Linked DNA regions of Macaca mulatta. The protein of the gene in region 1 interacts with the protein of each later gene in a biochemical or structural test. Links are inferred from orthologs where the notes say so. Each region holds a gene or a part of one and is shown in the gene's direction. Other genes may lie near its edges.

The links.
Region 2: of the proteins of H3-4 (region 1) and AURKB, one has a biochemical effect on the other in vitro, tested with the Homo sapiens proteins (4 studies listed by BioGRID and IntAct). The link is inferred for Macaca mulatta from reciprocal best matches to the Homo sapiens genes H3-4 and AURKB.
Region 3: the proteins of H3-4 (region 1) and TAF3 form a complex in vitro, tested with the Homo sapiens proteins (2 studies listed by BioGRID, with this or other methods). The link is inferred for Macaca mulatta from reciprocal best matches to the Homo sapiens genes H3-4 and TAF3.
Region 4: the proteins of H3-4 (region 1) and CBX1 interact in a test that uses a peptide from one of them, tested with the Homo sapiens proteins (3 studies listed by BioGRID). The link is inferred for Macaca mulatta from reciprocal best matches to the Homo sapiens genes H3-4 and CBX1.
Region 5: the proteins of H3-4 (region 1) and WDR5 form a complex in vitro, tested with the Homo sapiens proteins (4 studies listed by BioGRID, with this or other methods). The link is inferred for Macaca mulatta from reciprocal best matches to the Homo sapiens genes H3-4 and WDR5.
Region 6: of the proteins of H3-4 (region 1) and SETD7, one has a biochemical effect on the other in vitro, tested with the Homo sapiens proteins (2 studies listed by BioGRID). The link is inferred for Macaca mulatta from reciprocal best matches to the Homo sapiens genes H3-4 and SETD7.
Region 7: of the proteins of H3-4 (region 1) and KAT2B, one has a biochemical effect on the other in vitro, tested with the Homo sapiens proteins (2 studies listed by BioGRID). The link is inferred for Macaca mulatta from reciprocal best matches to the Homo sapiens genes H3-4 and KAT2B.

Annotation. Positions count from the first base shown.
Region 1 is NC_133406.1:86,178,103-86,181,397, reverse strand, and holds H3-4 (histone H3.1), read left to right. Parts: upstream 1-1,126; 5' UTR 1,127-1,840; coding exon 1,841-2,251; 3' UTR 2,252-2,795; downstream 2,796-3,295. UniProt on the Homo sapiens protein: Core component of nucleosome. Nucleosomes wrap and compact DNA into chromatin, limiting DNA accessibility to the cellular machineries which require DNA as a template.
Region 2 is NC_133421.1:9,727,390-9,731,611, reverse strand, and holds the start of AURKB (aurora kinase B), read left to right. Parts: upstream 1-1,422; 5' UTR 1,423-2,226; intron 2,227-2,881; exon of another isoform or gene 2,882-2,953; intron 2,954-3,411; exon of another isoform or gene 3,412-3,622; intron 3,623-4,222. UniProt on the Homo sapiens protein: Serine/threonine-protein kinase component of the chromosomal passenger complex (CPC), a complex that acts as a key regulator of mitosis.
Region 3 is NC_133414.1:9,321,854-9,325,353, forward strand, and holds part of TAF3 (transcription initiation factor TFIID subunit 3), read left to right. Parts: intron 1-2,883; coding exon 2,884-3,126; intron 3,127-3,500. UniProt on the Homo sapiens protein: The TFIID basal transcription factor complex plays a major role in the initiation of RNA polymerase II (Pol II)-dependent transcription.
Region 4 is NC_133421.1:61,951,877-61,954,673, forward strand, and holds the end of CBX1 (chromobox protein homolog 1), read left to right. Parts: intron 1-777; coding exon 778-922; 3' UTR 923-2,297; downstream 2,298-2,797. UniProt on the Homo sapiens protein: Component of heterochromatin. Recognizes and binds histone H3 tails methylated at 'Lys-9', leading to epigenetic repression. Interaction with lamin B receptor (LBR) can contribute to the association of the heterochromatin with the inner nuclear membrane.
Region 5 is NC_133420.1:8,352,649-8,356,142, reverse strand, and holds the end of WDR5 (WD repeat-containing protein 5), read left to right. Parts: intron 1-975; coding exon 976-1,076; 3' UTR 1,077-2,994; downstream 2,995-3,494.
Region 6 is NC_133410.1:148,441,242-148,445,319, reverse strand, and holds the start of SETD7 (histone-lysine N-methyltransferase SETD7), read left to right. Parts: upstream 1-1,278; 5' UTR 1,279-1,563; coding exon 1,564-1,603; intron 1,604-4,078. UniProt on the Homo sapiens protein: Histone methyltransferase that specifically monomethylates 'Lys-4' of histone H3. H3 'Lys-4' methylation represents a specific tag for epigenetic transcriptional activation.
Region 7 is NC_133407.1:28,522,432-28,526,501, reverse strand, and holds the start of KAT2B (histone acetyltransferase KAT2B), read left to right. Parts: upstream 1-1,270; 5' UTR 1,271-1,302; coding exon 1,303-1,605; intron 1,606-4,070. UniProt on the Homo sapiens protein: Functions as a histone acetyltransferase (HAT) to promote transcriptional activation. Has significant histone acetyltransferase activity with core histones (H3 and H4), and also with nucleosome core particles.

The DNA of each region.
Region 1 (3,295 bases):
ATCTCTCCAAAAAATTTAAAAATTAGCTGGATGTGGTCCCAGCTACTTGGGAGGCTGAGGTAGGAGGGGCCTGGGCAACAGAGCAAGACTGAAAAAAGAAAGAGAGGAGGGGAGGGGAGGGAAGAAGATAAAAAGAAAGGAAAGGAAGGAAGGAAGAAAGGGAGCGAAGAAGGGAGGGAGGGAGAGAGAAAGGAAGGGAGGGAGGGAGAATGGAAGGAAGCAAGTATAGGGCCCACCTCTGCTTCTGGTGAGGGCCTCTGGCTGCTTCTGCTCATGGTGGAAGGTGAAGGGGAACCCATGTGTGTGCAGAGGTCACAGGACTGCACAAGAGAGGAAGCCAGAAAGAGAGGGGAGGGGAGTGCCAGGCTCTTTTCAACAACCAGCTCTTCAGGGAACCAACAGAGTGAGAACTCACCCTAAAGGAGGGCAGGACTCTATTCAGAGGGTGACACCTCCAGGACCCACACACCTCCCACTGAGCCCCGGCTCCAACTTTAGGGATCAAATTTCAGCTTCAGAGTTGGAGGAGATTTGGAAGCTTCCACCTTCTGGTCCTTGATGATAAGAACGTTCCCTTCCTTTTACTATAAGGAGAACATCTTTCATAGGGGAATTCTATTTCTTGCCTTTAAGAAACAACAAGAAATTCAGAATGATCTTCCTACACCTGCCTCTTTTTTTTTTTTTTTTTTTTTTTAAGTGCCTTTATCTCAAAAGAGTTAATATGCCAGAAAGGCATATCTTTACCTTCTTCAGCATCCTAAGGCTCATCTGAGCCATACAGCAAAGGGAGTTCTTTGCAGGTCATAAAAAGTGGAAGACTCCTTTAACTCTGGTTGGATCCCAGAGCTGTATCACTGTGTAAAAGTGGAATGCCGGCTGGGCGCGGTGGCTCACGCCTGTAATCCCAGCATTTTGGGAGGCTGAGGCAGGTGGATCACGAGGTCAGGAGATCGAGATCATCCTGGCTAACATGGTGAAACCCTGTCTCTACTAAAAATACAAAACAAAATTAGCCGGGTGTGGTGGTGGGCGCCTGTAGTCCCAGCTATTTGGGAGGCTGAGGCAGGAGAATTGCCTGAACCCTGGAGGCGGAGCTTGCAGTGAGCCGGGATTGCGCCACTGCACTCCAGCCTGGGTAACAGAGCGAGACTCCGTCTCAAAAAAAAAAAAAAAAAGTGGAATGCCAGCTGGGCCTGGTGGCTCATGCCTGTAATCCCAGCACTTTGGGAGGCCGAGGCAGGTGGATCACCTGAGGTCAGGAGTTTGAGACCAGCCTGGCCAATATGGTGAAAACCCATCTCTTTGTGGTGGATACCTGTAATCCCTGTAATCCCAGTTACTTGGTAGGCTGAGGCAGAAGAATCGCTTGAACCTGGGAGGTAGAGGTTGCAGTGAGCAGAGATCGCGCCATTGCACTCCAGCCTGGGCAACAAGAGTTAAACTCCATCTCAAAAAATTTTTTTAAAATTAATTTTTAAAAAAAGTGGAATGCCGCATGCTGGCTTTCGGAAGGCTCTTCCCACCCAAGTCATGAGGAAGGGAGAAGAGGATTGCTGAGGAGACACGAGGAAGCTTGTGCTGGAGAGAGATGATCTCCACCGCCGTGGCCTACCCGCATCAACCCTTCACAATGCTGGTGCTAGCTCTGGTGGCCACGACCAACAAGCACTAATATAAGGGAGAGGCGGCCGAGTGGCGTGCCCTGTGGACCAATCAGAGAGTAGGGGGCCATCACGCCACCTGAGGCCAGCCAATGAAAACGCGGCAAGCTCTATAAAAGCGGGCAATCAGCTTAGGTCTGGTCAGAGGACACAGCAGAGACAACAGTTTCAAATTCATGGCCCGAACCAAGCAGACTGCGCGCAAGTCGACGGGTGGCAAGGCGCCACGCAAGCAGCTGGCCACTAAGGTGGCTCGCAAGAGCGCACCCGCCACTGGCGGCGTGAAGAAGCCGCACCGCTACCGACCTGGCACAGTGGCGCTTCGCGAGATCCGCCGCTACCAGAAGTCCACTGAGCTGCTAATCCGCAAGCTGCCCTTCCAGCGGCTGGTGCGCGAGATCGCTCAGGACTTTAAGACCGACCTGCGCTTCCAGAGCTCGGCCGTGATGGCGCTGCAGGAGGCGTGCGAGTCTTACCTGGTTGGGCTGTTCGAGGACACCAACCTGTGTGCCATCCACGCCAAACGGGTCACCATCATGCCCAAGGACATCCAGCTGGCACGCCGTATCCGTGGGGAGCGGGCCTAGGAGGGCCATCTCGCCACCTGAGAGGTTGCGCAACGTTCACCCCAAAGGCTCTTTTAAGAGCCACCCACCTGGTCGGAAGAGTTGCTGTAGCAAGCCAGGCTCTTGGGTTTTGGGGGTTCCTTCCGCTGGCCGGTGCTGGCTTACCTAATTCTGATTAGGGTGGGAGGCTGGCGAATCCTGTGTTCACCCTGTCCAGTTAGGAGGCCAGCTACTCATGCGCGTTACCTCCCAGCCTGTCTCCAGTTACAAGTCCAGCTAGTCGTGTGTGGTGCTAACTTGGTCTATCCCTTTAGATAAGAATCATGGTTGGTCTGTTTGGGGACGGGGTGTTGAGGGTAGCGTAACTGGCCTATCTGCAGTTAGGTAAGCAACCCCAGCTAGTTGTGTCAACTCAGCCTATCTACAGTTAGGTTGGAAGGCTGGCTGGTCTTGTGTGTTCTCAGCTCAGCCTCTTTCAAACTGTTACAAGTCCTGCGTGTGTGTGTGTGTGTGTACACACAGCTTCTTTCCAGTGAGGTTACCAGTCCAGCTAGTCTCCTACCTAGACAGCCTGTTAAGGCCAGCAAGTAGTATGTGTTATCTTGGCCTATTTTCAGTTAGAAGTCCAGCTACTTCACCAGCGTGGCAGCTCAGGTCTGTAATCCCAGCACTTTGGGAGGCCAAGGCGGGTGGATCACCTGAGGTCAGGAGTTCCAGACCTGCCTGGCCAACATGGTGAAACCCCATCTCTACTAAAAAGACAAAAATTAGCCAGGTGTGGTGGCACATGCCCGTAATCCCAGCTACTTGGGAGGCTGAGGCAGGAGAACTGCTTGAACCCAGGAGACAGATGTTGCAGTGAGCCAAGATCATGCCACTGCACTCCAGCATGGGCAACAGAGCGAGACTCAGTCTCAAAACCAAAAAAAAAAAAAAAAAAAAAAACAAAGTCCAGCTACTTGTGTGTGTTAACTCAGCCTACCTCCTGTTAATTTAGAAAGCTGGCTAGTTGTATATCTTGTTAACTTGGGCTATCTCCCATTAGGTTAGAAGGCTGGCTAGGGG
Region 2 (4,222 bases), on another chromosome or scaffold:
CTCAGCCTCCCAAGTAGCTGGGATTACAGGCGCGTGCCACCGTGCCGGGCTAATTTTTGTATATTTAGTAGAGACGGTGTTTCACCATTTTGGCCAGGCTGGTCTTGAACTCCTGACTTTGTGATCCACCCGCCTCAGCCTCCCAAAGTGCTGGGATTACAGGTGTGAGCCACCGCCCCCGGGGAAGAGGGTCATAGCTTTCATAAGGGTCATAAAGGATTTAGGCCTCCCCTTCTGCAGAGATTAAGTTCTTCAGACCAGGGAAGAAAGAGGTGACTGGATTATTTTGCAGAGAAAGCTGGAGCCCAAGGGGAGGGAGACAGGAATTGGAAAAGGGTAGGGATGGGGGAGGAGATGCCAGATCAGCCCTGAGAACCTCTTTACCCGTCTCAAAGACTTAGGACACTAATGGGAAAGACTGGGCTAACTTCTGCCCTTCCCCACTGTCTGCCCAGGGACACCTGGGAAAGGACAAATAGGAGCTGAATCCTTCACTGAAGGCCCCGTCAACGTATCTATGGGTTGGGCGTTAGGAACGGCCTGGCCCCACAAATCACATAACTGGGGTGTAGAACAAAATGGTTCCAGAGATGCTACCAGGCTGGTCCAGGACCGATGCAGGCCAGAACCCCGCGGGGAGGACTCCCCAGAACAGGCACTGAGCTGAGGAAAGGCAGAACACGTGGTCTGCTACTGACTCCACCAGATCTTCTGGGACTCTGGGCAGCTCCGGAGTACTGCTAAGTCCCCAAACCGGGTCTACAGGTCTTAGACCACACTCGTGAGGCCACTTGCCTCAGAGCCTTCGGGGGGGTCTTAGGAGGCAGGCAGGAAGGTCTCCTTCTAGGCCATTCTAGGAGGGGACTGGAGAGCAGAGGTTAGACCGGAGGGTAGGGGTAACCTGATCTTACAGTCCAGAAGCCACGAGACTAGTCGCCTGGCCTTGCGCCCCGCCCCACTGCAGGGTGGAAAGCCTGTCCCACTCCAGTCACCCAGATCAATAACGCCCTCCACCGTGGGTCTCCTGGGCCCCAGAAATCGTTCCCTCTTTCCCTCGCCTGGGCACTGCCACGCGGTCTGGGGAACCCGTAGTCTATCGACGGGTCTGGCCCGGGGTTTGCCCTGCCCGTTAGCCCAGGAGGATAGACAGACACGGGGAACTGGTGTTCCCCTAGTGATTTCAAGGCTCATTAACTGTCTCCGACCCGTCCCGAAAGCAAGCAACTCCACCGCTTCTCTTCAAAGCTCTGCAACGAAGGACTAGGTCCAAGGACCGCAGGCGGAGGCGGGAATTGTCAAGATCCCAGGTTACGGAATGGCACCGAGTCGGTGACCAAAGGAAGCAGGAACCCGGGTGTTCAAGGCAGTCCTCCAGGGCGGCGCGGGGGCTAGGCTGAGGCCACTCCCTTCCACTTCCTCGACGCTATTTCCTGGGAGGAGTTGGAGCTGGCGGCCCAGAGCCAAGGGACTCCCAGACCCGTGCTCCAAAATACTAGGCTTGGGGGAGGCTGGTTCCTGAGCGGCGCCAGGACCGTTCTGCCATGCATAGTGGACCCGGCACTACAGCTAGCCTGGCACGACCTCTAGGGCGGTTCGCAACGGCATTCGTACGTCGGCTCGTTGGTCTAGGGGTATGATTCTCGCTTCGGGTGCGAGAGGTCCCGGGTTCAAATCCCGGACGAGCCCTCCTTTACGTTTTGCTGAAATAAGAGTGTCTTCAAGGAATGTGTTACCTGACCAGCGCTGCAGGAGGCTTCACTGGAAATCATCAATGTACAGTAAGCTCTTTTGTGGCACCGGGGTAACAGAAAGAATCTCAGTCCCCAGACCCGCCTGGCATGTCAGGAAGAGACGAGGCACGCCCAGACTTGGGCAGGACGCTCCCTTTCTGCTTCTTGACTTCCTGCGTGGTGTCTCAACTCCGCCACTACAGCCTGGTTTCGGTTTGATTGACACCCATCAATCTATAGTTGTGGATGACAGTGTTCGGGAGAGCCCAGGAACTGTCAGAACTTGGTTCTCTGCAGCCCTGGAGGTACTCTGTCTCTTTCGGTCACTCCGTCTGACGATGGGTGCCTGAAATACACCTACAGTTTCTGGTCGGCTTTTCTCGGTGGTCGGAAGAACAGAACCCTTAGGAACTCTGCTGTCAGCAAGCCGAGTGTAAAGTCCCAGATCAAGGATTTGGAGACGACCATTGACGGGTCACTCCTCGTTAGTATAGTGGTGAGTATCCCCGCCTGTCACGCGGAAGACCGGGGTTCCATTCCCCGAGGGGGAGAATCCAAATGATTTTGCTTTCATTAAATCCGTCCTGGCCCCTGGGATGGAGCTAGAAAAAAGAGGGAAAGGAGGAGGGGAGGAAAGTTTGGCCTACCTCTCCAGCTCGCATTCTAAGTTTCCATTTTAGTTCAAGCAACTTGGAGTTCAAACGTGTACCTAAAGTGGCCACTATCTCCTCCGCTCAATATGTTCATTAGTGCTCAAACTTGATCTAGCTTGCTCCCTCCTTGACGGCAGTGCGCATTTCCAGTCTCTGCTTGAACCTGGGCAAGCAGCCATTTGGCCCCCGGCTGTCCAGGGTGCAGAGCCCGGGCTTTTGTTTCCTTTCACCTCCCTGCGTTTTGTGGATTCGCACTGCGATCCGGGAACAGTAGGCAACCCCGGGCCGAAATTCCGACAGGCTGCTCTCACCTGGAGGGGCTTGCAGGGCGCATCCGCCAGGAGCGCGGTGGTCCGGCAGTGGTCGCAGGTGTAGCGGAAAGCGGGTTCTTTCGGAGAGGACGGTTCCTCAGGAAAACCTCACGAAAATCCTCAACGATGGTGGGGCCCAGAAAACACGAGAAAGAAAAGAGGGAAAAAAAAAAATTCAAAATGCACTTGCGTTGGCCGGGAATCGAACCCGGGTCAACTGCTTGGAAGGCAGCTATGCTCACCACTATACCACCAACGCTTAGGTACTGCTGTTTTCTTTCATACCTCATGTTGATTGCGGTGAGTCGCGTTGGACCCGTGCGGAGCCAGGGAAACAGCATCAGCGAGATCCAGGTAAAAGTAATGGCTGCTGTCGTCTGCCCGGCGCAATTGTGCGTGACCTTTACCGCTAGTGCGCGCCACCCCACATGAACCTGTAGGGTTATGCCCAGTCTACAGACGAGGAAACCAAGGTCCAAAGAAGTTGAGTCACCGGCAGAGCTGGGATTACATCTAAGATCTCTCCAGGGGGCGAGAACTGCAGCGGCATCATGATGATTTATCATCTCCAGAAAAAAAAAAAAAAAAGAGTCCTAGACGCATAAAAATCGCTTCTCTGTAGAGTGGGCTCAATGAGCTCAATGTGATTCAAGTTAAGGAACTGGGCCCTAAGTCAAATGCGCCTAAACACAATTTGCCTCTTTATTATTTATTCAGATTCCTACGTACGTGCGCCCACATCTCGTCAGCTGGTGCCTCGCAGAAATGCGCTGACAAATCTTAAAGATACGGCTTCATGACAAAAGTCCTCCCCTTATTGCTGTTCAAGAGACCCCTCAAGTCACCCTCTCGGGCAGGCCTCGTGGCGCAACGGTAGCGCGTCTGACTCCAGATCAGAAGGTTGCGTGTTCAAATCACGTCGGGGTCAAACCAAACATTGTTTTCCCTAATCAAATAGATTTACGGTGACATTTTTAGGGACAGGACAAAAAAAACCTCCTCAGTAGAAGGATAGGAGGGGAATGAGACAAATGTGAACGTTATTCAGAAGTTGGGTACAATTTCAGTTGGGTACAGACTTTCAGCACTATGTGATATATCCCTGAGGCAAAACTGCACATGTACCCCTAAAGTCTATAAAAGTAAAAATAAATTTAAAAATTAAAAAAATTACTGTTGTATGGAAATTTTTTAAGAATTTTTTTCAATTATTATTGTTTGTTTGTATCTTTTTTCCCTTGAGATGGAGTTTCTCTTTTGTTGCCTAGGCTGGAATGCAATGGCACTATTTCAGCTCACCGCAACCTCCAGCCATGGGTTCAAAAGGATTCTCCTGCCTCAGCGTCCCGAGTAGCTGGGATTACAGGCATGCACCACCACGCCCGGCTAATTTTGTATTTTTAGTAGAGAGGGGGTGTCTCCATATTGGTCAGGCTGGTCTCGAACTCCCAACCTCTGGTGATCCGCCCGCCTGGGCCTCCCAAAGTGCTGGGATTACAGGTGTGAGCCACCGTGCCCAGCCTTTTTA
Region 3 (3,500 bases), on another chromosome or scaffold:
TTTGTTTCTTCTAAAATAAATGTTCTCAAGTTAAAGCAAGTATTAGAAGTTACCATTAATTCAAATAATGAACAAATAATGAACTTCAGAATTGCCTTAGGCTGACAATTTCTCCAAGCATTCAAGGGCAGATGTCTCTGTCTGTGTCACATTATATATTAAATGTGTTGGCATGCGCTGAAAGCAGGTGCTAAATCTTTCAGACTGACTCTTCAACACTAGTACTGTAATATTTTTTGTATGGTACAGGGAGTAAATGTAAAAGGAGTAAGAGGAGAGATGGTTGTAGGCTATGGATTCTGGGGTAGGATAACTTCACAGAAAAGATAAGATTTGAGTTGAGCTATGAAGTATGGTTGTATAAAGGTATAGAGTATTCCGGGTTAGAGAATCACATAAACTAAGCTGTCCAGGTGAGATTAAGCATAATAAAAGTACCAGTAAGGTGTTCAGCTCCCTATGCAGCTAGTTCATTCCAAGGGTGTCTGAGGAAAATGTTCAACACAGTGAAATCAGGTTATGGAGGGACTTAAAAGCTAGACAAAAGAATTAAAACATGTAGTAGAAAACATTGCATACTTCTAAGTAGGGGGACAATATGATTAAAGTGGTATTTTAAGAAAATTGTACTGACAGTGATGTGCACAAGACATTGAAGTGGGCAGAACTTGAGACTATACTGAGACAGGGAAGAATAGAGAGAATAGAGAGAATAGGAAGAATAGAGAGTAAGAATAGAGAGAAAGGAAAAAAATCTGAAATCATGGTTTAAAAAAAAAAAAAAAAAGGTGCCCGGGGATGGGGAGGGGGACAGGGTTAGAAACAGTTCCAGGTTTTGGTTTGAGGCTGCAAAGCATATGGAGGAATTTAAGATGATTATATTTTTTAGACTGAGAGAGTAATAATAGCTTTAATAGGAATAGAAGAGTTGAAATGCCTGTTTACGTTCAGTAAGAAGAGTATTCGTTTTATTTGTTTTCTCTTTTTTATACATCATTAGAAGTATACATTAGAAGTAACCCATGCTTATAGAAAAAAAAAAATCAAAGACTGCAGAAGTATGTAGAGTTAAAAGTCAGTCTCCTGCTTCCACCACAGCCCTCCCCTCTACTGCAGCTTCCATCCCCTTCAACTGTTAACCATTGGCTGAATATCCTTCTAGACGTTTCTGTATGCATTACCACACATGCGTCCAATTCTAGCAAGATTTGGATTCTTGTTCATTTTACAGGGTGATTTAATTTCAGACATACTGAGTTTGAAGTGATCAAATTTCAAGATTTCAGTTAAAAAGTCAGGATTTCAGTTAAATCCTTTAGGCTATTGAAAATCGGAAACTGGAATTTTCATAGACATTTTTAAAGATGTAGAGACCTTAAGCTCTGCTAAGGATAGGCATAAGAAAAACTTGCTTTTGTAAAGAAAAAAACTCACTATATCTAACTTTTTATCTTTTTATCTCTGTTTTATGTTGTGTTTTCTAATTACATTTGAAATTTTATAGGTAAATTACCTTTATGACTGGGCATGGTGGTGGTGCACTGGTAGTCCCAGCTACTCGGAAGGCTAAGGTGGGAGGACGGCTTGAGCCTGGGAAGTTAAGGTTGTAGTGAGCCATGATTGCCCTACTGCACTCCAGCCTGGGCAGCAGAGTGAGACCCTGTCTCAAAAAACAAACAAAAACCAAACTTTTATGATCTGAGCCTTCTTTGTAAATATTCTTAGATTTTAAAAATTCATTTAATGGTATAATTCATTCAGTAGGTATTTATTGAGTGCCAGCTATTGTTATTGAGTTCCAGCCACTGTTTAAAATTCCGCAGATGCATCAGGGAACAACAGAGGAAATGTAACAAACATTGATTTTGTCAGCACAGCACACTACTTATTTGATGATTTAAAAAAAAAAGGCCAGGCACATTGGCTCATTCCTGTTATCCCACCACTTTGCGAGGCAGAAGCAGGAGGATTGCTTGAGGCCAGGAGTTCAAAACCAGCCTGAGCAACATAGCAAGAACTCATCTCTACAAAAAAAAAAAATAAATAATAATAATAATAACTAGCAAGGCATGGTGGCATGTGCTTATAGTCCCAGCTACTCGGGAGACTGAGAGGGGAAGATTGCTTGAGCCTAGGAGTTTGAGGCAGCAAGGAGCTGTGATCATACTACGGCACTCCAGCCTGGGCAACAAGCAAGATGCCATCTCCTTTTTTTTTTTTCCCCCCCTGAAACGGAATCTTGCTCTGTTGCCCAGGCTAGAGTGTAGTGGCGTGATCTCGGCTCACTGCAACCTCCGCCTACCAGGTTCGAGCAGTTCTCCTGCCTCAGCCCCCTGAGTAGCTGGGATTACAGGCGTGCGCCACCATGCCCGGCTAATTTTTTTATTTTTAGTAGAGACAGTTTCACCATGTTGGCCAGGCTGGTCTCGAACTCCTGACCTTGTGATCTGCCCGCCTCAGCCTCTCAGTGCTGGGATTACAGGTGTGAGCCACCGCGCCCAGCCAAGATGCCATCTAAAAAAAAAAAGACAAAACACTATTATTATTATTTCTGGGGCATTTTCTGTGTGTCAGGCACTGTTGCAGATGCTTTTGATCATCTGTAAACTACTTTGAAATTTGTTCTATAATATATAAGCTGATCATGAGTGTGATTTTTCTGTGGTGTTCTGGCTAGTTGTCTGATCATATTTAAGCTTGACCTTAATAATCAGCTTAAACATGATTCTGTGATGTTCTATTTAAAATATTAAATTCTTTCCAATAACTAGGTTAAAATGTTTGATTCTGAGCTGCATATTTACTTACTACCTTTTTTAATATTTAAAAATATATTCACGGGATTTCTTCAAATAATTTGATTTGCTTTTGGCTTTGTTTCAGATGGCCGAACAGACCCAGTTTTGGATGATGTTGGTGAAGCTTTCCAGCTGATGGGGGTTAGTCTACATGAACTAGAAGACTATATTCACAACATTGAACCTGTCACCTTCCCACACCAAATTCCGTCATTTCCCGTTAGCAAGAACAATGTACTTCAGTTTCCTCAACCTGGAAGTAAAGATGCAGAGGAAAGAAAAGAATACATTCCTGATTACCTGCCACCCATTGTGTCTTCTCAAGAAGGTTTGTGAGTGTTTCTTCTTCATTTGTTAGGGACTATTTTAATGGATTTTTGATCCTCTTAGCTTTCCATGCTATGCCAACTTTATACATTCTGGAAACACAATAGAAACATGTACTGTTATTTACAAATTATTCGAACCCTTAAACCAACAAACTTGCAACTGACATTACCAGGCCAAGCCATGGTGTAATCAAGGTTATGTCTGAAGCATTTATCTCCTTTGTAAAGTTTGAGTAGAGGAAAACGGTGAAGCCAAAGAGAAGCCTTTCAACAGCCCTATTATATGAGAATGGGGTATTAAGTAAACTAGAAAACCTTTAAAACAAAAAGAAAAATTGGGGTAGCTCTTTCCTCCTCGCTTACTATTCAGGCC
Region 4 (2,797 bases), on another chromosome or scaffold:
TGCTCTGGCCAATGCCAGATGTGGTATTTAATCCTATTACAGGCCGGGCGTGGTGGCTCATGCCTGTAATCCCACTTTGGGAGGCTGAGGCAGGTGGATCACCTGAGGTCAGGAGTTCAAGATGAGCCTGGCCAATATCTTTCGTAAAGATGGCAAAACCCCATCTCTACTAAAAATATAAAAATTAGCCGGGCGTGGTGGTGTGCACCTACAATCCTAGCTACTAGGGGAGGCTGAGGCAGGAAAATCGCTTGAACCCAGGAGGCGGAGGTTGTGGTGAGCCGAGATCACGCCACTGTACTCCAGCCTGGGCAACAGAGTGAGACTCCATCTCAAAAAAAAAAAAAAAAAAAAAAAAAAGTCCTATGACAAAGCCAGGATTTCTCCGTGGGTTCTTATCAGCTGGGATATGGCTTTTGGAGGAGTGTGGTATCTTCTCTTCCCTCAGAGAATCTAGATAGCCTCTCTTCCTTCAGAGAATCTAGAGAGTCATGCTTTTGGGGGCCTTGCCCAGATGTTCAGATGTGATCGGTTAAGTCCATTGACCTTACTTTTGACATACACGAATCCCAAGAGGGAATTTTCAACAGGAGAGGATGTCACTCTGAGGATGTCACTTAACATAAAATTGCCAGTAAATGCTGCTTGGGCCACATTTTCGTTGTTCCCTAGCCAATTTTATAAAATTACTATTTTTAAAGCACTATCCCCTGGGTTAGTGCTTAGGATAGACCACCAGCACCTGGTCTCAAAGTCTCTCTTTGCTTTATTCTGCAGGAAAAACTCTGATGAGGCTGACCTGGTCCCTGCCAAGGAAGCCAATGTCAAGTGCCCACAGGTTGTCATATCCTTCTATGAGGAAAGGCTGACGTGGCATTCCTACCCCTCGGAGGATGATGACAAAAAAGATGACAAGAATTAACGCTCCTGAGTACCAGCCCCTGTCACATCTGACTGGGTTTCAAGTGGGAAGGGAAGGAGTTCTACTTGTCTTGACACCATAGAGGTGGCTTGAGAAGATGTCCTTTGAAGAGCCAGTATAGTTTCTGTGCCCTGCAGCAGCCCAAGTGCTTTAAAGCCGTTTCAAGCTGTATAGTTTGCACACCCATCCCAGTGGAGGGGAAAGGGGATAAGTGTTTCAAGGCAACCTTTTCTGCACTTTGCTGAGAAAAGCAAAGGGCCTTCTATGAAGGACAAAACTTGCAGAATTGGGTGTGTGGGAGAGCAAAAAAATACTGTAGATCTTCAAAGAGCATCTCCACAACCCACAGCCTTCTTCCCAATAGTGTTAACTCTGCATTTTTACAGCGTAGCATGTGTGTAGTCTTTGGCTATTACTGGTGTATTATTTGGGGGAGGGATGGGGAGGGGAGAAAGGGAGATGGGTAGCATCACTTTGATTAACATTTGGGGCCTGATAGGGGAAATGGTGAAGCAATGGAAAAGAACAGACAACTAATGATTTGCTTCTATGTCCAGAATATTTTACCTTAAAAAAAAAAAAAAAAAAGTCATTGGCACCATAAATAAGGACTGTGAGAGACTGTTTAAAAGCTGTGAATGTCTGAAACCTATAAGCCAAGGTGTTCCCTGCCTAAACTTATTGCTGTTCCCACAAAGGACTAAGCCAGTTCATAAGTTACCAAAGTTGCCATTTTGGAGATGGAAATTGATGAGGAGGGAGGAAAGTCTTTTATTGGAGAGTATACAGTACAAGCAGATCATTCTGTCTCAGAGGTGCTAATAAAATTAGAAGACCCTTTCTTTTCCAGTAACGAAGTTATAAATATCAGCTTGTTCATCCAAGCCACTGGCTGAGGTGTTAGGGAAGAGGAAGAGGGTGGTAGAGGAGATAAGACAGTAGGGAAAGACAAGGGCCCTTGCTCTTAGTGGGGAAACCTCTTGGAGCCGTTCTCTTTTTTGAGCTTTGAACTCTGAAACCATTGTTGGCTTCAGTCACTGACAGCACAAGTTTCACTGAATTGATCTAAGAGTTTAGTGATTTCAAAAGCCTTGGTCTCAGGAGAAGATTAAACTTCCATATTGGGCAGTGGTTCACTTTAAAACACACACACACACACACAATTTTTTAAGAAATCCTAAGAAGTAACTGATACCCAAAATGCTCTGTCTTGAGTCATGAGATCCATCAGTTTTTGATATTGTCTAGACTTGCATCTAGAGCTACATTGTAAAATCCTTTTAGGCATGTGTTAGATTTCTGTGTAAACTTTGTTTAAATGTAAACTTCATACTACACTGTCAGTTTTTGTCTTAATAAAACTATAGATTTATAATCCCTGATTTCTGTCTTAAGTCTTACCAGGAACTCTTCTTGCCTTATAGGTTCAGCCTGTTGGAAATGGCTTCCTCACTTGGATGGTTTTATTTCTTGAACACTGTAGGCTTGAAAATCTAGTGTCTGGCCTGAATCTTTAAGTGGTCGCACCATATTAATTTAGTAAATACTTAATAGGCATTTATCAGGTGCTGCAGAGATTGTAAAGATGGTCGCATCATGCTGTCTTCAGTATTGCCAAAAGTTTATTGAGCACTCTGACCTGACAGCACTTCCAAACTATGGTACATTTGGAAACATGGGTTTTTAAGTTAGGTTTAGATCCTGCCTCTGGTATGTAATAGATTATATGACCTAAAATCTACTTCACCAAAATTTTCCAGGAATTGGCCCCGTGTTTGAGCACTGACTTAAAATGTCATTTTTTGCCTATGATTTTTTTTTTCCTTTGTGAGACAGGGTCTTGCACTGTCACCCAGGCTGGAGTACAGTGGTGTG
Region 5 (3,494 bases), on another chromosome or scaffold:
TCCTGGGCCGGGGACAGTGAGGTCATCGCTGCCCCATCCTGGAGGCTCTGGCTCCTTTCGATTACCTGTTCCCTCTCCCAGAGAGACCCCTGCTGCATGCAGGCCTAGTGGGCTCCACAGCGGTGCTGGTTCCCAAGCGACCTGGGGTTGCCCCTCCCTGGGTCCTGGCTGCCCTCTGCAGCCACCACTGCTTCCTCACCCTCTGGCCCTGCATTTCCATGTCTCATGGGGCCAATGAGAGCATGGGGGGGGCAAGCCCTTGTGGAAACTGGGGGAGGTGCTGCTTCTCCCTCTGCTCGAGCAGCTTCACCCAGCCTGGGGTCAGCACTCATGTTCCACGGCGGGCCTGGGCCTTCCTCCGGGTCCTCACCGGTGTTCTGGGGTTTCTTTGGTTTATGTAGAAGTTGTAAACTGTGATTTGATGTGGCCGACCTTGCACCAGCCTGTTAGATCTGACTGCCCTGCTCGGGTGGTGGACTTGTCCTCGCTGTGACAGAGCCAGCCCTGTGGAGCGCTCTGAGGCTCAGCATTGGTGGGAGGTGGCGGGAGTGGGCAGCTCAGGGTCCGAGTAAAAGAGGGACATTGTCGATAAAGGACTGAGGACCGTGAGGGGTCTGACTGGGGTCCTTGTGCGCGCTGGCCTCTGAGCCAGTCCTGCTGCCACGCTCCTCCCTGTGGGTGCCGAGCTGCTGCTAGTAGGGGCATGCGGGGCTCCTGGTCTGCAGGCAGGGCTGACACTCCCTGTGGCCTCCTGCCCCTGCCCCCCAACCGGCTGTGTCGCCCTGGTACCAGCTGCTGTCCCCTCGCTCCCCTCCCCTGGGCTCCCTGTGTCGAGGGTGGGCAGCAGCTGCTTGTCCTGAGACCTCCCGGGTGGTGTGCAGGAGCTACCAGCGTTTCTGGGGAGAGGTGGAGCTCAGTCTGGGATGGCACCCAGGGCACAGGGATGGCTGTTTCTGACTGTGTCTTTGTTTTCAGATGTTGTGATCTCAACAGCCTGTCACCCAACAGAAAACATCATTGCCTCTGCTGCGCTAGAAAATGACAAAACAATTAAACTGTGGAAGAGTGACTGCTAAGTCCCTTTGCGCCTGCCCGCGAGGGACTGTCGGGACGTTGACCCGGATTGGCAAGAAACATGGTGTCTTGGAGGTGGTCCCCAGGGTCTGCGCCTGGGGGTCAGGACAGGGCCTGATCGAGCCTCCTCTTTGAAGATGATTTGGCCGAGCGGAAGGTGTGGACCACCGGAAAGTTCTAAAAGTTGCTGGTGACATTTCTTGCCAATTCTAACACTGTCTAGGGAAGAGTTCCTAGTCTATTGTGTTCAAACAGAGTCAACAAAAATTTTTAATTTTTTATTACAAAAGGGTGAAGTTCAATTTAACATGCGTTGTGTTTTTTCAGTAAACGTTCTGTATCTTTTTGATATTCCATGACCCAGTGCACGCCGTCACCGCCACCGTGGCCCCGCCAGCTGGCCTCCCCTTTGGCCTCGGGCCCTGACTCCTCCGTTCCCGCCAGTAGCCGTTGCTAGTGTGTTTCTGTCTTTCTGGAAAGCAGCATTGTGTGGTGGTTTTCCGTGTAAAGAGCCGTTTGTGTCTCGGGAGCTTGTGGGCCACACGTCGACAGCACAGTCGTTGCGCACGACGCTCCTGTTTGTCTCAGTGTCCCTGCAACAAGCAGCACCACAGACTGTAATAAAAGGTGGGGTTTTGTGAATGGTTGTGGCAAGTGAGTCCTTGTGAAGCTCGTCTCCATGTGGCTTTCTTGGAGAAAGGCTCCCCTGGGGCAAGAGGGCGGAAGGTTTCTTCGGAAAGGTGGTGCTGAGGCTGGCTGCGCCTGCTCTCTGAAGCCGCCTTCCTCTCTAGGTTCACTGTTCAGTGTTGCTGGGGGAGGAGCGGGGGTGGGGAGGTTCTTAGTTGCGAAGGAGCCAAGCTCCTGATGGGCTCCCGTTGGGATGTGGAGGATGCCTGTGGCATGGGAACGCTCCCTGAGCCCTTCACTCCAGGTCAGATGCCAGTGGGACTGATGCGCCCTATGAGGGCTGCAGGGCCAGCGCTGCCCTTCGGCATCCTCGAGGGGTTGGGTGCTAAGCGCAAGCCTCACTGTCCTTGCCGGAACCCTCACTCGCCCGCCCACCCCTCTGTGCTCCTGGCGGTGCGGCTTCCTGGTGCTCACCTGCACAGCAGTTTACAGTGGAGGCCAAGCTGGCACCTCTGGGGAGCGAGGCTGAAACCTGAGCTCCGTGGAGACCGTTGTGGTGAGGGCTGCCACACAGGGCGGAGCAGGGTGGCCGAGGGCACGGGCGCCTGGGTCTGTCCCACGGGGCAGCGCTTTGGGGTGGTGTAGGCTGTGATGCTCTGGGAAGCCCGCTTGGGTCCTGGGTCTACAGAGGGCCCTGGCCCCGGAGCCCAGCCAACTCTTCCTCTCTCAGGGCCTGGAGTCCTGGGGGAGCCCAGCCGGCTCTGCCTCTCAGGGCCTGGAGTCCTGGGTGAATCCTGCAGGTTTTTGGTTGCACTGGCCCAGGGAGGAAGCGGGGGTTGTCAGGTGGGCTCTCCTGGGGGTCCTGCAGTGGCAGAGGTGAGGAGGGGATTATCCGAGGCATCTGGAGATGTATGTCCTGTGGTTTCCCTTGCCCGTCTGTTTCTGATGAGGTGTACGGATGAGTGACCTGCGCTAAGAAGTGAGTTACCACAGTGAAAATGGGTTGGTTTTTGTCTTCGACGCTCAGGGTCTGGGCGCCTCACATTTGCAGTCTGTTGTGACAGACTCGGGAAGCTCCGTGTGCCAGCCTGCGGCTGCCCTGCTGTGGGGGTCCTGGGGGCGGCGAGCCTCCTTCAGTCTTGTTCTGGGGAGGATGGCCCACTCCGGGGAGGGGGTGTGCTGTGCTGAGCGCTGTATCCCTGAATATAGTTTATTTTTTCTACATTTGAATTCTGTTGTAGATTTATGTAAAAATACATTCTTTTTGAAAATAAAAATTTTCATGTCTTCTAATTTTGTCCTGTGAGAATTTCTTAACTTCAAACGTAGCTGTCTCTGTGGGGTGGGAGGGCGGCCGCCCTGGGGCTTTGTCCCTGGTGGTGGGGGTAGTGTCTGGTGTGCCAGTGTGCCCCACAGGACAGCCCTGGGTTTTTACGGTAACCGTAGGAAAGTCATCTCTTTGTGCTAATTATTCTATGTATTTTGTATTGATTTTTCCACTCTTAGGTATATATCTGTGTGCTAATTACTGACAGTGTTAGGCAGGTAGGCACAGATGAGGAGAGGTCCTCCAAAGTCCTGCTGCCACCACCGTGCTGGGGAGTATCTTCCACGGTATGCCTTACAAACTAACAGGAGCTTTCAGATGTGAAGAGCGTGGCGCCCCCAGGTTCCTTCCTGTCCCTGCTGCAGGAACTTCCTTGTTCATGGGCTCCTTCTGTTATTTTAGTACAAATCCCAGACATTCTACCATGTAAGCGGTGAACGTGTGGTGTCTCAAAATAATTCTCCAG
Region 6 (4,078 bases), on another chromosome or scaffold:
AGCATTGTTCTCTTTTTCACAGAGGAAAAACTGCCTTTAAGAAACAAGCCGGCAATACTTGACAAAAATATCTACCATTTAAGCACAGAGCCAAAAACAAGGAGTAGTCTCCCGGGCGCTGGAAGTATTTTGAAATCCCCAAAGTCTCATTCATTGTTCAGAAAGCAAAATGGAACTACTTTTTTTTTTGCTCCCTCCTCCCCTCCATGCAGTAGCTGTTCTTGGCAGGTGCCCAGAGTGGCACCCGGTAATTCCACGGTACATTGTGTACATTTGCATCTATTTAATCGGCTATTTACAGTCGTCCTTTACCGCCACCTGTAAGAGGCAGCGCCATAATGACACTAAGTGGCTGGGCCGGAAGCCGGGTGCCCAGTGGTTTTCTCCACTTGAGGACGCCTGAATCTGTGAAGTGGTTGGCACTTGGAGAAACAGGGAGACAGCTGGGGACATCGCACTTACAGGGCGGGAGGCGCGGGAAAGAGGCGCGCCAGACGGAGGGTCCTTCCTTCCTCGTTAGCTCCACTCGGCGGCTCCTTTTCAATTACCACAGCCGCGAGAAGGAACCTGCCGAGCCTTCGGTGCGGCTTGTTTCCTGCCTGACAGAGAGCCCGCTGCCATTTGGATTTGATGCATTTCTGAATCACCCGAGGGCCTGGCGACCCGAAGGAGGGCGGGGAGTGGGGGCGCTGGGGTGGACCCGCCATCCTGCGGAATCCGGGCCAGATAACAGCCCCCGAGCTCGGGAAATCGGCTTGCGGATGCGATGCGGGACCGCGAGGACACCTGCGCTCCGGTGCGTGTCGCACTCGTGCAGCTCCCGGTGGCGAACGGGGTGATGTGGGGGCGAGGGTGAGAGGAAGTCCAGGCGCCAGAGCGTCAGAAACGCTTCCTTAGCTTCCCTGGCACTTTGGAGGTTGTCTCGAGGGGGCACGGACAGTGCACGGCGGACTTTCAAGTTGCTCCCGGCACAACTGGAGGCCGGGAGCTCGGAGCCCCCACGGGCCGTCCAAGTGTCCGGAAGAAGCCTGCAGCGCCCGGGACCGCGTTGCGCGCTCGGGGCGCGCCAAGCCGCGCCTAAGCAAAGGAGAAACGCTCACGGGCCAGAGGCGGGTTGGCTGGGACGCGGAATACGCTCGGCCCCGGAGCTCCTTTCGTTTTAAGGAGCCTTACTTCTGGAAAGGGACAGGGAACTGTCAATCAGCGAGGGAGGGAGCGCACCGGCGCTGGGTGATGTCAGCGGATCAGCTGCTCGATAACAAAGAGGGGGTATTACAGGAGAAAGTTGCAGCAGCTGCAGCGGCCAAGGCGACACACCGGAGCCTCCGAGGCGAGGGGCAAGTGGGCGAAGGGAGGGGGGACGACGGCTGCTGCCGCAGCAGCTGAAGGCCAAGGAATTGAAAGGGCTGTAGGGGGAGGCAGTGCGAGCCAGCCCCGACTGCTCCTCCTCTTCCTCCTCCTCCTCCAAACTCGCGAGCCCCAGAGCTCGCTCAGCAGCCAGGAGCACCCGGAGGGACGGGAGGCAGCCGCGCAGCCCCGAGCTGGGCAGGGTCCCCAGCCGCCATGGATAGCGACGACGAGATGGTGGAGGAGGCGGTGGAAGGTACAAGCATTTCTCCAGGGCCGGGGGAGGAGGCGCAGAGGGCCCGGAGCGCGGAAGGAGTGGCGGGCTGCAAGCGGCGCGGCGCCGGGCCCCGCGGCCGCCACTGTCCCTTACACGGGTGGCCGGCTGCCCGGCTCGGGCGGGGGCCCGACAGCCACGGTCACGCCGCCGGGAGCGCGCACTGCGCGGCGGGGCGCAGGCCGAGAATGGGGCTCTGCCAGGCCGGGGGCGCTGGAAAGGCACGGCCGCGCCATCCCGCCCGGCCACAGCCTGCATCCACCCTCGGAGTTGCGAAACCTGCCCCGCGCTCTGGCCTTTCCTCCTTTGGGCGCGGAGGGTGGGTGCACTCCTCAGGGCAGCCGCTTGAGGCCGGCGGACTCCGCGGAGCAATCCCCTAGCCCAGTTTTGGCCACCCGGATTCCCTCCCGGCCGCCAGCCCTTTTCTTCTGCTGCCTCTGCGCCCAGCGGCGGCCGCGGCCGCGTCCGGGTAGGTCCCCCGGCGCAGCGCACGGGGCCAGACCGGGCACGTGGCAGCCGCGGCCCAGGCGGTAGCGCTTCCGAAAAGATGAAATCATTGTCGGGCGACTGACAAGGCTCCCGACCCGGGACTCGAACGCGCGCCGTCCGGGAGGCGGGCGGCCCTCCCCTCCGCTGCCCCCGAGCGAACTCAGTCAGGCCTCCCCCTCCCCCTTCCTGCTTCGCCGGGGTGCAGCCGCCACGCTGTGCAGGCGCGCCGCGAGCCCGCACCGAAATTGCTGGGTGACACTTAACTTTCTGAATTCCATGCCGTTGGCTGTGGGTGATATCACCGCCTCGGTGTCGTGTTTCTCCGCCCCTTCTCTTCTACCGCCCCTCCCCCGACTTTTCTCGCCACTTTGTTTTGCTGAGTTTCTCCACCTTTTTTTTTTTTTTTTTTTTTTTTTGCTAGTTCTGAAAAAACGATGTGGGGACGTTATACAATCTCGTTGTTTGTATCATGGGATGTTATGATTTTGTAACAGCGAATACTGGAAAATACTCTTTAGTGTATTTATTTGGTTCCACTACATACAGTACGTCGTGATGTTTTTCAGTGTGGTGTGGTATGATACCAGAATGTTTTAAACCAAGCATGTGAGTAAATAATTTTTAGCTGTTTGTTGAATCTGGTTTCTGTCCGATTTGTATAAACACAAGTTCTGACGAAAGATAAAGAAAAAAGTGGCAACACTACAAATGCGTAAGGATACATGGTTGTTGTTACATTGGGAAAAATCAGTTTTAATGTTTTCATAAACATAATTCCCTTTGCAGTGCTTCTGAGGTCTTAAGGGGAGATTAAGCAGACTAACATTTCTGAACTCTTGAAAAGTATTCAATGTAATGCCAATATTAAAACTTATTTCTTCATCTAACTTCGAAGCCAATTAAAGAGTGTGTGGTTTTTGTTAAGAACATTTTCACCATGTTGTGAACTCACAGAGCTATTTATCTCTCTAATAAATAAAGCCCATGTTGGGGCTGACTGGAGCCCAGATACATTGATTGAGTTGATCCACAGGGAGCCTTCTCAGAAGTTAAAAGTTGTTGACTTCTTGTGCCTCCATGTTGTGAAAGATAAAGGAAAAATGATCCCAGGATTGTTAGGGTTTGCTTTCTTTCTTCAACATTTACTTTTACTTGTAAAAATTAAATACAAACCCTTGATTGCTGGTACTGTTCTCCGTGTTAAACCACATTCATTCCCCTTTGAAGCTGTTTACAAACATATGTCCAGTTGTCCACAGTCCTCAGGCTCCTTTGCAGACTGTGACCAAGAGCTTTAGAAATGTATCAGTATTGTTTCTGTGAGACTGTCCACTGGATTCGAAAACAGGGAAGTTTACATAAACAGGGATGGTTTTGTTTTATAGGGTAATCATCCACATTATTGTCCAAAATCAGAGCCCCCTTGAGAATGAGGGGCTATTAATAATGATGCTGGGACAAGTAGCTTAAGCCTTGAATGTCTGGGGCAACCTGGGACACATGGTCACTCAGTTGTAGGTAACTAAACAATTAGAGCAGCACAGAATCTTTAAAAGCCCAAGAAGCATCTCAGGCTCTAACTTGCACAGTGCCAGGAGTGTGTATGTGCACATGCAGTAAACTGTACCTGTGCCATGCACTCTTGTCCAGCCATTCTTGGCCTTGTGAGTGCTGTTTGCAATAGTCTTTACATAACATCTAACACTTACACAGGGGACTGGTATAAACTGCTTCTGCTCTTTCCCAAAGAGAAGCTAGTCTGAATATCTTAGTGTTTAAGTACCAACTAATCTACCTCTTTCCATAAACAGAGCCTCTGTTCTCAGTAGTTTCACTGTCATAGCTATTATTATCGTTGCTATAATTGTTTAGTTCTTATTAAGTGCAGGCTGTGTGCTAAGTGTTTCACAGACATTATCCATTCAGTCCTATTCAGTCTTATGAGGTGGGTACTAATATTATCCTAAT
Region 7 (4,070 bases), on another chromosome or scaffold:
CGCAGCACTGACATGTATGCTCCACAGTCATCAACAGAGAAAACAACAGTTTTCAACAAGAGTTGAAAACTGAGTTGAGGGTTTTTTTTTTTCTTTTTTTTTTTTTTTTAAGTTTGAGGCCAAAATCGGTATTTATTCTTTTGAATGATGCTTATATCTTTTTCCTGGTTAATATGCACGCTGGTGGTACAATTTTGAAAACTACGTAACGTGATAGAACCACCACCCAGAAACGAGTCCTGTTAACAAACTTTTTGTATTCAAACTTTTTCCACTGCACATAGTTTTTATTTTGACAATGCTTTTAGACAATCGTTCTTTTAGCAACCAGCACTTTCAAACAAAAAGTACAGGGAATAGTAAGTTTTTTCCCCCTCCTCTGGCAGATTTGACCCACAAATTGCTATAGGAAGAAAGTGTTAATTATATTAAAACATAGTTTGACAGAAAGTATTTAAAAAGAGAAAGGGAAAACATCACGCTTTTATTTTGGTGAATTAGCAACAAAGAAAAGGATTAGCATGGACGGGTACTTTTCAAAAATATTTTTTTTTTCCTCTGGCTCCCGCTAGGGTGGAGGAAGTTGTCTCTGCTCAGAGACAGGGTGGAAGAGAGTGGAAGGACAAATGACTGAGAGGCGGCCCCCTCCCACTGGTGCGGGCGTGCGGGGGTCGGATGGGGGGCCGCGGAGGGGGGAGGTGGCCAGCAGGTGCCTGGGCTCCAGTCCCCTACCCCCACCCTCGTCCCCACCCTCACCCACACCCAGGGATTGGCCTCGCCCCCTGGCGGGCGAGCAGTAGGTGTCGAGGCACTGGGGTGGGGGGTGCAAACCTCGCGGGCAGCGGAAAAGAAGCCGTGGGGGGCCTCCCGGCCCCGGCACACACTGCGAGGCTGGCACCCGCCCGCACGCACACCCAGTCCGCAGCCCCGAGGAACATGTCCGCAGCCAGGGCGCGGAGCAGAGTCCCGGGCAGGATAACCAAGGAAGGGCGTGTGCTGTGGCGGCGGTGGCAGCGGCAGCGGCAGCGGCAGCGGCAGCGGAGCCGCTAGTCCCCTCCCTCCTGGGGGAGCAGCTGCCGCCGCCGCCGCCGCCGCCACCATCAGCTCGCGGGGCCCGGCCGGAGCTAGCCCGGCGAGCGGCGCGCGAGGGGGAGGGCGGGGGCGGGGAGGGGGGTGGGCGAAGGGGGCGGGAGGGCGTGGGGGGAGGGTCTCGCTCTCCCGACGACCAGAGCCCGAGAGGGAGACCCTGGCGGCGGCGGCGGCGCCTGACACTCGGCGCCTCCTGCCGTGCTCCGGGGCGGCATGTCCGAGGCTGGCGGGGCCGGGCCGGGCGGCTGCGGGGCAGGAGCCGGGGCAGGGGCCGGGCCCGGGGCGCTGCCCCCGCAGCCCGTGGTGCTGCCGCCCGCGCCCCCGCAGGGCTCCCCCTGCGCCGCTGCTGCCGGGGGCTCGGGCGCCTGCGGTCCGGCAACGGCAGTGGCTGCAGCGGGCACGGCCGAAGGACCGGGAGGCGGTGGCTCGGCCCGAATCGCCGTGAAGAAGGCGCAACTACGCTCCGCTCCGCGGGCCAAGAAACTGGAGAAACTCGGAGTGTACTCCGCCTGCAAGGTACGCGCTCGCCGTTCTCGGACCGCGGATGGGTGCTAGGGGCCCAGCCCGCGGGACCCCCCTCCCCCTCCCGCTTCCACCTCCGCCTCCCGCCTTCTGCCTTCTGCCTCTCGCCTCCCGCCTCCCGCCTGGGGCCGCTGCACCGCGGAAGTGCTCTTGTCGCCCGAGCCCAATTAGCTTCTTCTTGGATAAGAGTCCTGCTGGGTTTGAAGAAGGGGATCACTAAGACGGAGAGCCCTTCATTCCTTCCGCTTGAAAGGAGTAGCTTCGGAATCCGAGCTCCCGGGCTACTCTGGGGTTTTGTTGCTCTGTAGGAGCTCGCTGGAGTCACTTTCGCGGGAGTGGAGCGGTGCTCTCCATGTGGTGGGCGACCCAGGGGCAGGGAAACATCTTTTGGGGGACTGAGTGGTCCCTTCTGCAGTCGATCCCTTCCCGTGTCCCACTGGGAGGAACTGGGTGCAAGGAGTCGGGGTGGAGAAGACTCCCGGACTCCTGGCGCTTTGGGAAAGCGAAGGGGAGGAAAGCGCGGGGTGCGAAGGTGGGCAGAGCCCGAGGCGAGGGTCTTGTGGCGCCTGACGCCCTCGGCTGGGGGCGGAGGCGCTGCCGCGCGCAGTGACAGCCCTGTCATTATTGTATTATTACTTGTTTAGTTAAAACGCTGTCCCAGCTGCTCGAGGTGTAAACAGGATTTGGCAAGGTGACAGCCCAGCGCCGCGGACGCTACTGCTTGGTTTGAGGACACCCATTTCTTGCTACCCACTCTCCGTGCCAGTTTAGGCACCCTGTCATCCCCAGCTGCAGATCCAGATGTGGGGGCCGTGCTCCCGAGGTGGGAGGATTGCCCGAGGCCGCGGGGCAGGCTGGCCCTGCGCTGTCAGCAGCGGCTTTGTTTTGACAGGGTGACAGCTGAGGGGGGCGGGGACTTGGCCTTGTCAGCTCCTGCGGCCTGTGGCAGAGGCAGGGAAGAGACACACTCACACACACTCACACACCTCCCTGTATTCTTCCTGCCTGCTGCAAAGAGGGTCAAGTTCCCAGATTCCGGATTCCCAATTCCCACAACCAAGCTGCAGTGGCCACTTCTGAATTTTGATATAACTATTATTTATTCTACTGGAACATCTGGGTTATACTCTTCTTAGTACTTACAGGAGCTTCTTAGTCACAATGGAATGTCTGTGCTTGCTCTTTTTCCACACCGTATCCTCATGTTTATGTTGAGCACCTCTGTATCCTATACTGGTTCGATAAATATTTGTTGAGTGAATGTGGGATCTAGCCCAGTGCTCCTCAAACTTTCATGTGCATGGGAATCTCCTGGGGAAGCTGGTTAAAATGCTGATTCTGAATCAGGTGGTCTGAGGTGGAAGCTAAGAGTTTGCATTTCTGACGAACTCCCAAGTGGCACTACGCTAGTCCACAGACCACATTCCAATTCAGACCTGGACAGTATATTATTTGTCCCCGTTGAATTTAGCAGAAAAGACAGAAACAAATAATAATGCCGTGTGGTTATTTCTGAAGAAGGAATGCAAAAAAGATGAAGTGGGGAGTGTGCTTTTTGAAAGGTGCAAGCCCAGGAGTTGATCATGAAGGGCATTAGATGAATGAGAACAGGCCACTGACTGTAGTAGGCAGAAGGGAGAGCTAGGTACAGAATTAAGAACAAGGTCGTGAGTTCAGGGCATACTGCTTGGGTGATGGATACACCAAAATCTCACAGATCACCACTCAAGAATTTATGTAATCAAACACCACCTGTTCCCCCAAAACCTATGAAAAAAAAAAAAGCAAGGTCAATTACTTGGTGGCCTTGGCGTTTTGCAGCCAAAGTGGGCTCATGCAGGAACTGTGTCAACTCAGTGTTTCTGTCCTGGCTTTATTTTAACATTTGTTTATTGGGTTATCATTACCAGCACCTCTTAAAGACTTCCTGCTGCCTGCTGTAGCTTTAATATCTGAAAACTTTCCTGAAGTTTTGGTTTTGTCTAAAACCATGAGCATATGTGGCCTGCATTGATGTTTTTGATCTTTTCAAATTTCCATGGGTGAGATGTAGCACCACTTCCAAAGTTTGAGATTTGAGTGTTTTCTGGTCACTTTCATGACCAAACAAGAGAAATAGAAAATTTATTTTAAGGCCTTTTTTTTTTTTTTTTTTTTTTGAAACAGGGTCTCACACTGCCTGCAGGCTGGAGTGCAGTGGCATGATTGTAGCTCACTGCAGACTCAATCTCCCTGGGCTCAGGTGATCCTCCTACATCAGCCTCCTGACTAGCTGGGGCTACAGGCATGCACCAGTACACTATTATTATTATTTTTTTTATTCTTTGTAGAGACAGGGTTTCACCTTGTTGCCCAGGCTGTTCTCGAACTCCTGAGCCCAAGCACTTTGCCCGCCTTGGCTTCCCAAAGTGCTGGGATTATAGGCATGAGACACCATGCCCGGCTGAAAGTGTTCATTT